2 linked regions of the Alligator mississippiensis genome follow. The protein of the gene in region 1 purifies or fractionates together with the protein of each later gene. This does not show direct contact. Links are inferred from orthologs where the notes say so. Each region holds a gene or a part of one and is shown on either strand. Other genes may lie near its edges.

The links. The genes of interacting proteins can lie anywhere in the genome.
Region 2: the proteins of TDRD3 (region 1) and FMR1 purify together in Homo sapiens (affinity purification with mass spectrometry; 4 studies listed by BioGRID and IntAct, with this or other methods). This does not show direct contact. The link is inferred for Alligator mississippiensis from reciprocal best matches to the Homo sapiens genes TDRD3 and FMR1.

The regions. Positions count from the first base shown.
Region 1 is NC_081824.1:401,752,647-401,759,493, reverse strand, and holds the start of TDRD3 (tudor domain-containing protein 3), read left to right. Parts: upstream 1-3,841; 5' UTR 3,842-3,979; coding exon 3,980-4,020; intron 4,021-6,847. UniProt on the Homo sapiens protein: Scaffolding protein that specifically recognizes and binds dimethylarginine-containing proteins. Plays a role in the regulation of translation of target mRNAs by binding Arg/Gly-rich motifs (GAR) in dimethylarginine-containing proteins.
Region 2 is NC_081831.1:75,853,914-75,860,920, forward strand, and holds the start of FMR1 (fragile X messenger ribonucleoprotein 1), read right to left. Parts: upstream 3,009-7,007; 5' UTR 2,814-3,008; coding exon 2,763-2,813; intron 1-2,762.

The DNA.
Region 1 (6,847 bases):
TTAGTATGTCCCAAACTGACTAGTTCCCATGATTTTCAAGGCTTCTAATAGTTTCAGGCTGTTATCAGACGCTTTTAGAATGAGGAAGCTAGTCAGTTTTGGGGATATGAAATACCGTGTTGCTCGCAGTGCTATAAAGGGTTGGCAACCTACAGTACATGTGCCACAAGTGGCGCTGGCAGCCTCTGTGTGTGGAGCTTGGCAGATTGGGAAGAGGGCAGGCAAACACAGCAACAAATATGGCACAGAGCAGAAAGCAGAGGAAAGGAGTAGACAGGGAGCACAGGGAGCCAGAAGGCAGAGCAGCAGATCACTCAGGGAAAGGTGACTGGAGTGGTACTCAGGGAAGATGCAGGGCTTACTTTGTGGCATGCCAGCCAAAAAGTTTGGTTCCTGATGCTGTAAAGAATGCTTATTATGAAGATACATGAAACTGATTAAGTCCCCTCATTTTCCAGGCTTCTAACAACAGACGTGGAATTGTCTGGCTCCTGTCAATTTTAAGGTATCTAATACCAGCCATTTGACAGCTGCTTTTCTTCAATATTTGCATGCAGATAATTGGAGTACAATTAATGTTACCAAGTAGGCAGTGGATCTGAAGGACACTATGCACTTAACTGATGTGGATACATTATGATTATCGTAATGTAAACAATAGGCAGCAAACTGACAAGCATTGTTATGCAGTTACGTGAATTATGCACATACTGGGTGTGCATGTAAGTAGAGTATACAATGGAATTGCTGGTGAGGGTGAGGTTGAATGATGAAGCATCTTAAAGGCAAAAACAATGGAGGTCGAATCTGAATATACTAGAAAGCAGGAGGCCAGAAAAAGGATGCAAATTAGGAGATATTCTTCTGAATGATCTTTAGAAAGCTGGCACAGGGGGCACATGGGAAAACATTTACTGAGGCCAAAGGTGGTTTTGTCCCCAGTGACTCAAAAATTATTTAGAAGTGAAGGTTCTTCTGGTATCGTTGGGGAGATCAAAAGTCAGCTCAAACCAGTGACTGAATATTCGTGGGGAGAGGTGAAAATACAGGATTAGAATTGTACAGGGGAACATCAGTCTTGAGGTTGGTCTACACTACATAATCTTGTTGGCCAAACAAGTGCCAGCAAGATGTGAGCACATCAACTTTAACTCCTCTGTGGCACCGGACCCCCTGCAGACAACTATGTCCCTTGGAACTGAGAAGGCTTCTGTTGACAGAAGGGATGTGTAAAACTGGCCAGGCCTTCTTTTGGATATCGCAGCTCTTTTGACTGCTGGACCTATCCAGCATACAGTTTGTGCCCTTTCTGCACAGCTGATGACATGGAGCCATATATATATATATATAAAAGCATGTACACACTCCCACACTCCTGCAGCTTCTGTTTTGGCTGCTGTCTGCCACCCGAAGTAGCCAAGTGTGGACAAAGCTTAGCAGAGAGATACAGAGGCTGCTTAGCATCTCACCCAATTCTTGAGACTCAGGACAGTGAAAAAAATTAGCAATTAGCAACAGGAGTACAGCTCTAACTGGATACTCTTCTTTTATGTGAACAGCAGCTGTCTTTGAAAATGTTGGTGGCTCAGCTATAGACTGTGTCAGTAGCGTGGGCACTCAGAATAGCTGCTAAATTTTCAGACCTCCAGCTACTTTCAAATCACTCTTAGCTTCAAAAATTCCTTTGAACTCTGCAGTGCTTTAAAAAAATGTACGGCTAAGTCAAAGAAAAGTGGTGGGTATATGCCCATACACATTACCCATTTGACTCTTTCTTCATTTATATCCTTTTCTTTCAGAAACAAGTCAAGGTGTTTCAAAACTCCTTTATACTGTACACCTTGAAAGGAACTTATGAAAGGTATCGTGAAGCAGCTTGTGCTTCTAATTTAATATACAGTTCCAAACTATTCAGAATATTCAGTTTAACATTCATTTCAAAGCAGAGTCCCAAGCAGAGACTTAGGAACCCATCCTCTAACTTTTCTGCAGGCAGTTTAAACCATATAGGCACTTCTGAAAATCCCACTCTTTACTTTCTGGAGCATATATTAAAAAAATTTGCAGCAGCATGATGTTGGCTGCCATGGTCCCCCTGCTTTACCTGTGGCAGGTTAGAGTGTTATGTCCTGTGGTTGTGTCAGGGTTGTCTGTGTAGTTCTGCTAATAGGTTAGACTAGTGATGTTTACCCCTTTTCCCCAGTGGACTGGATGGACAGTGCCATGGTCCCTCTGTGGGCTGGATTTAGCTTGTGGCCCTGATCCATCCCCGGCCACAGGGGGGGAGGGAAGGATGGGGAGCAGCTCGGCTGCAATCCGAGTGTGCAGGGAGAAGGGGGCATGGCCTGGCACCAATTCTGCCATGTAGGGAAAAGGGGGCATGGCTCAGCCCCCTCCCAATCTGGCTTCAGGAAGCAGGGGGCAGGGTCCAGCCCCATCTGGCTGTGAGGGGAGGGGGACAGAGGCATTTGGCAGCATGGGAAGAGTGGTGGTATTAATAGCCATTGCTCCCCTTCCATCAAATTTCCTGAGCCCTGGGGAGCCCTGCAGACTGGATGCAAAGGCTCTGCAGGCCACATTTAGCTCACAGGCCGGTGCATCTCTGGATTAGAGTAGTGGTTTTCAATCAGAGGGGTGCTGCTAGACCCGTTGAAGGGTGTCATGAAGTGTGAAGAGAGAAGCTGGTAAACCAGGCTCAGGCATGCCTCTTCATGGATGATCCTCCACCTGGGCTGCCAAGGAGGCAAACACTGCAATATATAGTTGTTTTTGAAATTGGGTGCCACTCTATTCACAGATGTTATGGAACGCGTCTCGAGTTCAATGAAGGGTGCCTTGAATCCTGTGAGGGGTGCTTTGGATTAAAAAAGGTTGAGAACCACTGGGTTAGACGATGGATTTGTACGGGATGGTTTGGACAGGGATGACCTTACCTCAGCCAGGGCGGAGGCTTGGACTAGACCTGTAGAAGTCCCTTTCCAGCCCTACTTCTCTGTGGCCCCCTCTACATGGGCAGGTAAAGTTGGGATGGGATCTAATGTGTGATGCACAGAATTGTACATTAGATCCAGTTACACCTTATTACTTGATCCTGGGCTCCCCCCCTGCATTGGTAAGAAGTGGGCTCCTGGCTACAGGGGCACGGGCAGGGCTCTTGATCGTGGCGCAGCTGGGACCAAGAGCCACTTAGTTGTGGGACTCAAGGTTTTGGCTGCGTATGTGAACCCCGAAGTTCCAAGACTCGGGGATCATGTCTGCTGCAATCCTCCAGGCCTGAGGCCCGCTGGGCTGGGCACCATGCGTCAAAGGCCCGCCACCAAGCGGGGTGCAAGGAGGTGCCAGGGCGAGCTCTGTGCTGTGCTCCAGGCACGGCATACCGCTGTAGCTGGGAGCTCTGCTGGGCACCGGGGCTGGGGGACCCTACTGGAGCCACAGGGGGGGCCTGCTGGAGGCGCAAACAAAGCCTGGACGGCAACCGGCTATAAAGTCAGGGCACGTCTAACTTTACAGGTCTAACTTTATGGCCGGCTGGAGCTCAGCATCAGCTGCGCTGCGAACCAGTTTTTTGCTGAGAGGCAGCGAGGGGCTCCCTGCTGCTGCTCCCCAGCAGAAAGGCGCGACTCTTCTCCCCCTCTTTTTGCCCCGGGGGGAGGGCCTCCCTCTGCTCCACTACCACAAGGGACGAGGAGCGGGGGCAAGGCCTGCACCTCGGGCGCTGAGGGGCACAAGAGCCAGCGGGAAGCGGCGCCGCGGGGAAGGCCCCGCTGTCTGCCCGCCCCTGTGATGGCGGCGCCAGCCTCCCGGGCCCGGGCCCGGGCCCGGGCCTCCTCAGCGGCGGAGGGGGCGGAGCGGGGCTGACAGCGCGGCCCGGCCCGGCCCGGTGGCGGCTTTGTTGGTTGGCGGGAGCGCGGGGACCCAGCCCAGCCCGGCCCTGCCCCCCCGCCCCTGGGCTGGGCCGGCCGCGGCGGCAGGAGGCGCCATGGCGGCCGGGCCGAGCTCGGCGCTCCGCGAGGCTGGCTGGTAAGCGGCGGCAGCGGGGCCAGGAGGCCGCGTCTTATGCCGGGGCGCGGGGGGGAGCTCGGGGCGGTCGGGGAGCGGCTTCCCCTCCCCCTTCCCGTCCCTGCCCGAGCCCCGGGTCCGGCCGAGGCCTGGTGCCCGCCGTGGGGGCTGGGCTGTGCCCCGGCCGTAGGGCTCCCGGGGGCACAAGCCAGCAGGGCGGACCCGCGGGGAGGGACGTGCTCCTTGCCCTCAGCCGGGCCCGGGGCAGCCGCGTCTGTGCCTGGCTGTGGGCCCCGCTGCGGCGGGGATGTGGGCGCGGCGGGCAGGGGAAATGGCGAGGGCGCTGGGGGCATTACTTGTGAGGGGCTGAGGGAACTGCGCTGATTGAGTCTGGAGAAGAGGAGACTGCGGGGATTGAAGAGCTGCCTTTAACTACCCCACACGGGGCTGCAAAGAGGACGGAGCTGGATTGTTCTCAGTGGGGGCAGATGACCGAAGGAGGAGCAAGGGTCTCAAGTAGCAGCACGCGTGGGCGACTGGTGCCACCTTAGTCAGGGGGGGCACGTGCCCCTGCACTGGCCAGTCTTCTATTGCGGGGGAGTCCCTTGCAGCCAGTCTCACCAACTGGGGGGGTCTCTGCTGCGGCTGATTGCAAAGCGGCCACTCCTTAGCCAGGGCTCCTACCTGCCCCTGGTGCCAGTCGCCTAGTGGTGAGCGCAGCCTGTCAAGGGGTGCATGTGCACCCGCTGCGTGTCATCACGGGCAGCATGAGAAGTTTAGGCTGGATGTTAAGGAAAACTTTCTCCCTAGGAGGGTGGCGAAGCATGGGAACGGGTTACCCAAGCTGCGGAAGCTCCATCCTTCAAAGTTTTTTATAAGACCCAGATTGACAAGGCTTTGGCTGGGGTGATGTAGTTGGGGCTGGTCCTGCTTTGAGCAGGGGGTTGGGCTAGATCAGTGGTTCTCAACCTTTTTTTTTTTTTGTACCAGGACGGATTTGTAAACATGGGTGGCCAGTCTCGACCCAGTGCCCTTCACTCCTGACCTGCTGCCCCCAGGCTGAAGCCCCCAGAGTGTGTGGGACAGGGGGTGGGTGTGTGGGGCATGGGGGGACCTGAGCAGTCCCATGCAGGCTGGAGCTCTGACAGCCTGCAAGGGAAAGGCCAGTTTCCCATGTTTTTCTCCTTTAAAGGATAATCCATTTTTAAAATTTGTTGACCCATTTTTAAAGTTTGTTCGTGACCCTTTAATATATTCTTTAGACCCATGGTATGAGAGATGCTGGACTAGATGACCTCCTGAGGACCCTTCCAGCCCTGTGATTCTATGCAGAAGGGCACGTCTTCAGAAAGGAGAGAGTGCAGCACAGGCCAGGCAGCCTTGAATTAGGCCGGTGCCTCTCACGCCTCTTTGGGCACTCCTCGATTCTGCTTGAGAATCCCTCTCTGAAAATGCCACCTCCTCCCTTCTGCTCGTGTCTTGCTTTGAGAGTGGTGGAGCTGTCCTGGAGCGCTTTCTTCTTGGCATATATCTTGGCCCACAGAAGGCCCGGGGTGGGGAAGCGGTTTGATACTACCAATTCCTGTTTGAAATATCTGCCTTCATTTTCTGTGTCCTGCTGTGCTGACATTGCTCAGCATCCTTGAAAGGAGTTGTGGGTACCCTAGGGGATGGCAGGGCCCCAGCTGAGAATTGCTGAATTAGGGTACAGAAACTAGGAACTCCTGACTCTCTTTTATCTTTAACTGTTTTTTTTAAAGAGCTGGGTAGCCTTGGCTAGGATGAAATAGCTGGGGATGGTCCCGCTTTGAGCAGGTCAGGGTCCTTCCCAACTCAAGTTTTCTATGATTCTGTGATTTGACAGTGTTACCTGTCTCCGAGTACAATATGTAAGAGACTTGGACTTTTTACTTCTACAGTGCAGAACACACTCTCTGGTTGGTAGGCTTGGTGAACATTGGCAACTATCATTTATCTAATGGTATAGGCTTACCTTGTTTTCTCAACTGTTTACAAACACTTTTCGGCAATACGCATTCCCTATCAAATCCACAAATTGTAAAAAACTGGTTATTTAGCCCCTGGTTCAGAGAATTGCTTAAATTTGCATGTATGGGTAAACTTAAAAAAAATAGTGTGATGTGGTACTTGGAATGTTTTCCTGGTACTGTTCTTTCTTGTTGTGACCTTTTTTGACTGGTGCACCCTTTGCAGCAGCAGCACTCTAGGCAGCTTTTAAACATGTCTTAAGAAATGGTACTCAAAATAACATGCTTCTGGTCTGTGTTGGCATTTAAACCATGCTCAGTTCCAATTCATTTGCACTTCTTGCTTTCACCTCTTGTCGAAAGTAGTCATTTTCCTAGTGTGAATAACGTAATCGGTAAGTCAGATTCGTTCTTCATTTGCTTCTGTGCAACTTGGTTCTCTGTTCCTTTAAATGCTTGAAAAAACTTTTGTGCATTTGCAATTCAGGTAAACCTGTCACTTTTGGAGGCCCTGCACTTGTCAGCTTCATTTCCGATATCCTTGTTTACTCTAAGGTGGAAACAGGAGTTAATGTTAGTTTAAAAAAAAAAGCAAAACCTTTTTGTTAAGGCCCGAGTAAGAAGATATAACTTAACACACACAGGGGCGTAATGTTACTTACAAAGTCACTTTAGAAAAGATGGCACTTTAAGTGGGCTTTATAATGTGATACAATTTTTGTTTTAACCTTTTGTGTAGTTTGATACTCTCACTTGAGTTTTCCTCCCAAACACTTAAAAGTGCAACAGCTTAAATACTGTTAGAAGCATAAGAGGATATTACAGGAATACTGTCTAATTCCAGATCAATAGATCCTTTC
Region 2 (7,007 bases), on another chromosome or scaffold:
AAAGTCACTGTACAATCAAAATTCTTTCTAGATTTATTTTTCTTTTCCCTCCACTAATGCAATCAGTCATGGTATCAACACAATTTTAGATTCTGGTAGAAGAAGAAAAACTACCAGGAGTTTTGGAAAGCTCCCTAGAATGTTTCTAAAACATTTGTCTTTATAACAGACAATACATAAAAGTACTATTACTATGTGACAGTAGTCCTCCCAGTTATTTGGGATGACCTGAATATCGCTTTGTGGCTTTGCCATTCATGAGTAATGTGATCACCCCCAACTCATGCCAGGAAGTGCTAGATCCAGAAGGGACTTAAGCATGGTAAATGAGCATTTGCAGAGTCTGTTAGGCACTTAAGTGCCTTGTAGTATTTGGCATCTGGGGTCTTAACAGGAACCCGAGGAAAGTTAGGTACCTCGGAAGGGAGATACATTAGAACACTTAGCAGGGAAGTACCTGAAACAGGGTGACAGGAAGTGCTGAGGATAGGAGGTCTTAAATCCCACCTTCTTGGGAGGGGTCAAGAACCTAACTAAATCACAGGCTGCCAAGAAGCACCTCTGTCCACTAACCCCAATGATGGTTAGACACAAGTCAAGCTCAGAACTGTCAAGTACTGTCAAGACTGAGGTGCTGCTGGGTACAGGAAAAACCAGAACTTTAGTTGCCTAGATTTTTTATACTCCTTAAGGGTTATGGAAGAGTTTTGTGGCAGAATTTGAAGGATTTAAATTTTGGACTGAGATGCCTAATGCAGAAGTTAGGTGGCCAGGTCAAGATGAATCCCCTTTTGTGGAGCTTCATCTTGTGCTGCCCATACACTACACCAAAATACAGTAGCAGCACACATTCACAGAATTTTGCTACAGTTCTTAAAAGCGGGATGAAGGCCATTTTACAGTACCAACTGTAAGGGCATACAGCTAAACTACACCAACAAGATGCGCAGCAGCGAAACACAGGACACAGGCTCCGCGTGCGTGTTATGTCCTGAAACAGATGTAATGTGGCACTTGGTGTGGCTTTGGACATGTGCCAATAGACATGCCAGAGATACTACATCCCTGAGATATTACATCCCCTTTGCAGTGTAGCAGTCCAGAGGCAGCGGGGACATGCATTTAAAGTTCATACTGCAAAACTGCCTTAATAGACTCTCAAGATCCTTACTGAAATTCTACAGATATATACCGCTGTTACACCTTGATGCAAGTAAAGAAAGTGAAGCCCTTACAACAAAGGCTAGAGATAAACACACCATTAAATAAAATTGGATAAAGAGTATTTTTACACTCTTATGATTCTAAAAGCATCCATCTAAGATATTGCCTACAGAAATGTTTCAGTTTACCCTTCAGTCATGTAACTGAAGCTCAGGTCCAGAATTTGTCCCTGCTGCAAACTTTGCGCGATGCCGGCCAGTACAGTTCATTCTGTGCCTCAGTTTCCTAATCACCAAGATAAGAATAATACTGGCTCATGTTACACCGAACCAGGCACATGCATTCATATTTGTGCAGTGCTCAGGTATTATAATGAAAAGAAAACTATTCACCTGAATGGATCAACTATGAATTTTGGTTATAGATGCTTAAAACTTTTAAAACATTTTTTTTTTAAATCTAGAGAACTGATTGATTTTGTTATAGCATATGTGATGCTTCTGCTGAGCCACCTTTGGAGGACGGCTGAGACCTATTTGCCATTTCCAACCCCCCACCCCTTATTTAACCTTTACATTTTTATTTCTTCACCAAACCAAACTATAACGTACTCCAAAACGTAAAAAGGAAAGAAGAAGAATATTCTAGCCAAAAGATGAATAAACCTGGATGGGCTAACTAAGCTTTCATACTTACCAACACAACAAACTCAGCTCATGATTTAAACCGCCCAGTGAAATTAACAGGAAGACTTGTAGGTTTCAACCAGCAAAATGGAAAAGTAGAAATCGCGCGTTTTTAATTCGCCGATTCTCAGAGGACACGAACCGGACAAACCCACGTGAAGTCCGCACGTCCCAAACTTTCTATCCCGGCGCTAGCTGTTCACGCCAAGAACACGCTTCGTGCTTTTTTAGGAAACCCCTCAACTTTCGACCCCGAAAACTCCCTGAGAAAAATCCCCCCGCTATTTAATGAGACCTGATCCCGAACCCTGTCTGCTTTCGAAGCCCGAATCTGACCAGCGCTCGAAACGACCGTTCACGAGCGCGTCGGGGCGCGAACCCCTCGCAAACTTCACTTTCTGCACCCCTAAAAAAAATTTAAAAAAACCCCCCAAAACCTCATCTGCTCATTAACCCTAAAAAGAAAAAGAAATAAACAAAATAAAAAAAACCCTCGTGCAGTCATTAACCCTAAAACAAATAAAAAAAACCCTCGTGTGCTCATTAACTCGCAGCCCTAAAACCGGGAGATTTCCCTCCCCACCCCGACTCCCCCAACCCACCCGCCCCTTTCCCCAGGGGAGGATGGACATTTTGGGGGCTTCTCAGGGGTTTAAATAGGGAGGCAAATCCCCCTTAGCATCCACCCAAGGGAACTTTTTTTTTTGGAGGGGGGAGGGGGGGATTTTTCTAACAACAACAAAAAAAAGCCCCCTCCCCCTTCCTTTTCCCTTCTTCCTTCTCCCTCCCTCCCCCCCCCCACAGGGCGCACGTGCCCAGCAGGCCTCACGCGGGACTAGGCCTAGGCCGCGGCCCACCCCACGGGCCCCGCAGGCCTCGCCCGGGCCCGGCCGACAATAGGCGGAGCGGTACCTTGTAGAAGGCCCCGTTGGAGCCCCGCACCTCCACCACCAGCTCCTCCATGTCGCGTCGGGCCCGGCGCCGCCTCCGCGGGGTGTGTGTGGGGGGGAGGGGCGGCTCCCGGCTCCGGCCCCGGCCCGCGGCTGCCCGGAAATGAAAGCGAAACGGTCACGGGCGCGCGGGGGGGGAGGGGCGGGGGGCGCCCGCCTCGAAGGTAAACATTCGACCCGCGTCACGTGACCGAGAGGGAGGGCCGCTCCCTGTTAACGGCGGGAGGGAGGGGAAGAGGGGAGGGGGGGCGTGTGAGGGGAAGGTGCAACCTAACCCGGCGAGCGCTGGGTGAAGCCCCGCCCTCCGCCACCGCCCGTCCCGCTGGTGAGTGACCGCGCTGGTAGCCAATGGGAGAGCGCGCGGAGCGGCCAATCAGGAGCGGGCGGGGCCTGAAGAGGGGGCGGTGACCCGGGGAGACGGGTTGCCATGGCGGCGGGTGTGCGGCCTGGCGGTGGGGGAGGGGGGTTTGCTAGCAGCTCCGAGCTGGGGTGTCGGGGGGTCACGTGTGCTCGTCTGAGGTACACGCTGGGGTGTCACAGACACTAGTCAGGTACACACAGAGGTGTCTCGTGTTACTCTGAGGTACACACGGGTGTCACACACTAGTCTGAGGTATACCCAGAGGTGTCACGTGCTAGTCTGAGGTATGCATGGGTGTCACACACTAGTCAGGTACACACAGAGGTCTCATGTGCGCTAGTCTGAGGTACACACGGGTGTCACACACTTGTCTGAGGTATACCCAGAGGTGTCACGTGCTAGTCTGAGGTATGCATGGGTGTCACACACTAATCAGGTACACACAGAGGTCTCGTGCGCTAGTCTGAGGTACACACGGGTGTCACACACTTGTCTGAGGTATACACAGAGGTGTCACGTGCTAGTCTGAGGTATGCATGGGTGTCACACACTAGTCAGGTACACACAGAGGTCTCGTGCGCTAGTCTGAGGTACACATGGGTGTCACACACTTGTCTGAGGTATACACAGAGGTGTCACGTGCTAGTCTGAGGCACGCATGGGTGTCACTAGTCAGGTACACACAGGTCTCACGTGCGCTAGTCTGAGGTACACGCAAGTGTCACTAGTCTGAGGTATATGCAGAGGTGTCACGTGCTAGTTAGAGGTATACACGGGTGTCATGCTAGTCTGAGGCACACACAGGTGTCACATGTGCTAGTCTGAGGTAGACATGAGTGTTGCATGTCCTAGTCACAGGTGTCATATGCGCTAGAATAAGGTACACACGGGTGTCGCGCGCTAATCTGAGGTATACACGGTGTCACACACTAGTCAGGCACACACAAGTGTCACGCACTAGTCTGTACACACAGGTGTCACATGCACTAGTCTGAGATACACACGGGGTGACACGTGCTAGGCTGAGGTGTAAACAGGGTGTCACGCACTCGTCTGAAGTCAGACCTCTTTTATTTCAACTGTGTTATTCTTTATGTCAAGGGAAATCAAATCACAATACATCATTTAGAAATATTATTTAGGTGCCAGACAGGCCACGAGGGTCAGGAGCGACAGGACAGAGGAGACTTAGTGTTTCAAGTGCAAAACATGTTGCCAGCTGGAGCTTTTTTTGAAGTACACTGCTGCACGCACGGCGGTGAGGTGACTCTGCGTGCCTGAAGAAGGGCGTTTACGCCCGAAAGCTTGCAACGAGCAATTTTTACAACTATTTAGTTGGTCAAATAAAAGATCATCTTTCCCAAGAACCTTGCCGGCTCGCAGCGAGGGGATACCTCACTCTGGGTCCAGTGAAAAGTTTGGGGAAAACTGCATTTTTGGCTTCAGCTATGTAAGTTTTGCCATTGTAAATGATGAAGAGGAATTTGATCGGTATTTACAGACTGTTCTGTAATAAACTCGGGACCTGAAGTCAGTCGGAAGACGTAATCGCATGGAGATCTATATATCTATACATAGAGGGAGAGAGCACATGCTTTTGTGGACCCCAGCTCGCTTCACCATGCTGTGAAAGGCCTTGCAGGAAACAGCATGAAGAGAGAAATTAGGATACAGAAAACGAGGAGAGGGAGAGAGCAGGGGAATGGGCAGTGCTAGGTGAGACAATGTTAGGGGCATCTTTTTATTTATTTATTTATTTATTTACTTTGCCTGAGCACAGCAATCCTGAGGGGTTAGGAATAAAATTAAATAGGAATAAAATTGTATTATATTTAAGTTCTAGTATTCTTTCCCTCATGGGAAGCTCTTATATTCCTTCCCTCATTTCTTATATATCCACCCCACTGTGTCACCGGTTGCATTTTCTATATAGGGGTTAGTTTTGAAACTGAGTTTTCCTCTCCTAGATGGAATGGACTTTCTAGCATCTGACAAGGCAAGCTATAGCCTATGAAAGCTCATGTCTCTGAATGCAGGTAGATGTGAAGGACGGTTGCTCCTGCAGTTTGTGATGGCAGGTAGTAGCTTGGTAGCCTCCCAGTTTTGATAACACATTTCCATTTTTTAAAAGAGCTTTAAGTTCTGTTTTTATATATACATGTACGTATATATATACATGTATGTATGTATATATATATGTATCTATATATATATATATATATATATATAGTAATAGCATCTAATTTAACTAGGGCTGTTAGGAACCATGGGTGAGTTGTGCAGCCTTGGGGGATGCCAGGGAATTAGTCTTGAGGAACGTGGTTGATTCCTAACCAAAAGGCTGTCTCTCTGCCCCACCTCCTGGCCCTCCAGCAGTCATCTGGGTAAATCCAGTAGCCAAGCTGTCTAGAAAGCTGGTGTTATCAGAAAACTATAAGATGTGGAGGGATGTCACGGGTGATCAGCCCAACCTTTTGCTCAGATGTGAGCCACGTTATTCCTAAAATATCCCAGACAGGCCTGCTCAGCCTCTTTGAAGAACAGCAGCGAAGGAGATGCCACAGTTTGGTTAGGTATCCAGGTTGTAGCTATATTGGTCTAGAGGAAATGATATCTTTTATTAGACAGTTGGTCTAATAAAAGATATCACCTCTGTCCACAAGCCCTGATTACAATTTAGGTCTTGATTCATTGGGAGGTATATGTTTCCTAAAGAACTGCAGCTGACCATTCTCTAGCTGTCTTGGCCCTGTTTTGCCCAAGGGTTTCAGGTGAAGGAAGGTGAGAGAGTGAGGTTGACTGCATGGGCATCCCATGCTAAAATCCATTCCAGATGCAGATGTCATGTTCATGCCAGTTGGTTTTAAATAGTGCAAGCTACAGAACTTCAAAAAAATAGGTTGTGCTATATTTAAATATGTTTTGTGCACCACATCTGCATGCAGAAAGGGGTTGAAACCTGATCTATATACTTTTTATTAAGATTGATTCTCTCTGCAGAACTACAGGGCAGAAAGGGATAGCAGCAATCAGGAAGGAGCACTTTTTTATAGTACTTGATGTGTGGGTTTATTTTAGAACAGGTTGGGAAAGTCTGCTCCTTACAACTTAGCCACTGACTAGGATTTACTATTTTATGTATTGAAAATTAAAAGTAAAACAGATGCTTATGATTCACTAAATCAGAGCTATGTAATGTTAGCCACAAGATACCTTGATGATGTAGGCCAACTGTAAACAAATCATATCAAAATGTTATAAATGCAAAATCAAGCACTTGCAATATAGGAAATACCAAAATTAAGGTTACCTGTGCACCTTTAGTTTGAGCCCCTTGTGCATAAGTATCATGATGCAGTATTCTATTATATGGTCACATGCTATCTTCTCCTAGAGCAGTGGTTTTGAACTTTTTTTTCCATTTGCAGACCCCTACAATTTCAAATGGAGGTGTGGACCCCTTTGGAAGTTTCAAACGGAGGTGCGGACCCCTTTGAATTGTAAGTGTGGGTATTCACATCCTTTTGATTGATCATAAGCATCTTTCATGGACCCCTTACACAGTCTGCAGACCCCCAGGGGTCCATGGACCACAAGTTGAAAACCACTGTCCTAGAGAGGTAGTTAGCTGCGTTAGTCTGAAGTTAGGCAGAAATTAGGGCAACGTGGTATTTTGAAGTAACTCATTTAGAGAGGCATGAGCTTTTGTAAGCCTGCTTTGTCAGATGCTCTGAAGTCCATTTTGTTTGAGAGAGGAAAACTCCCCGTTTCGCATCTAAGCAGGCCAAATTCATTAGTCTTGCAAGGCTAGTGAGGTAGAGTGCCACAGCTGATACCTGTTCCTAG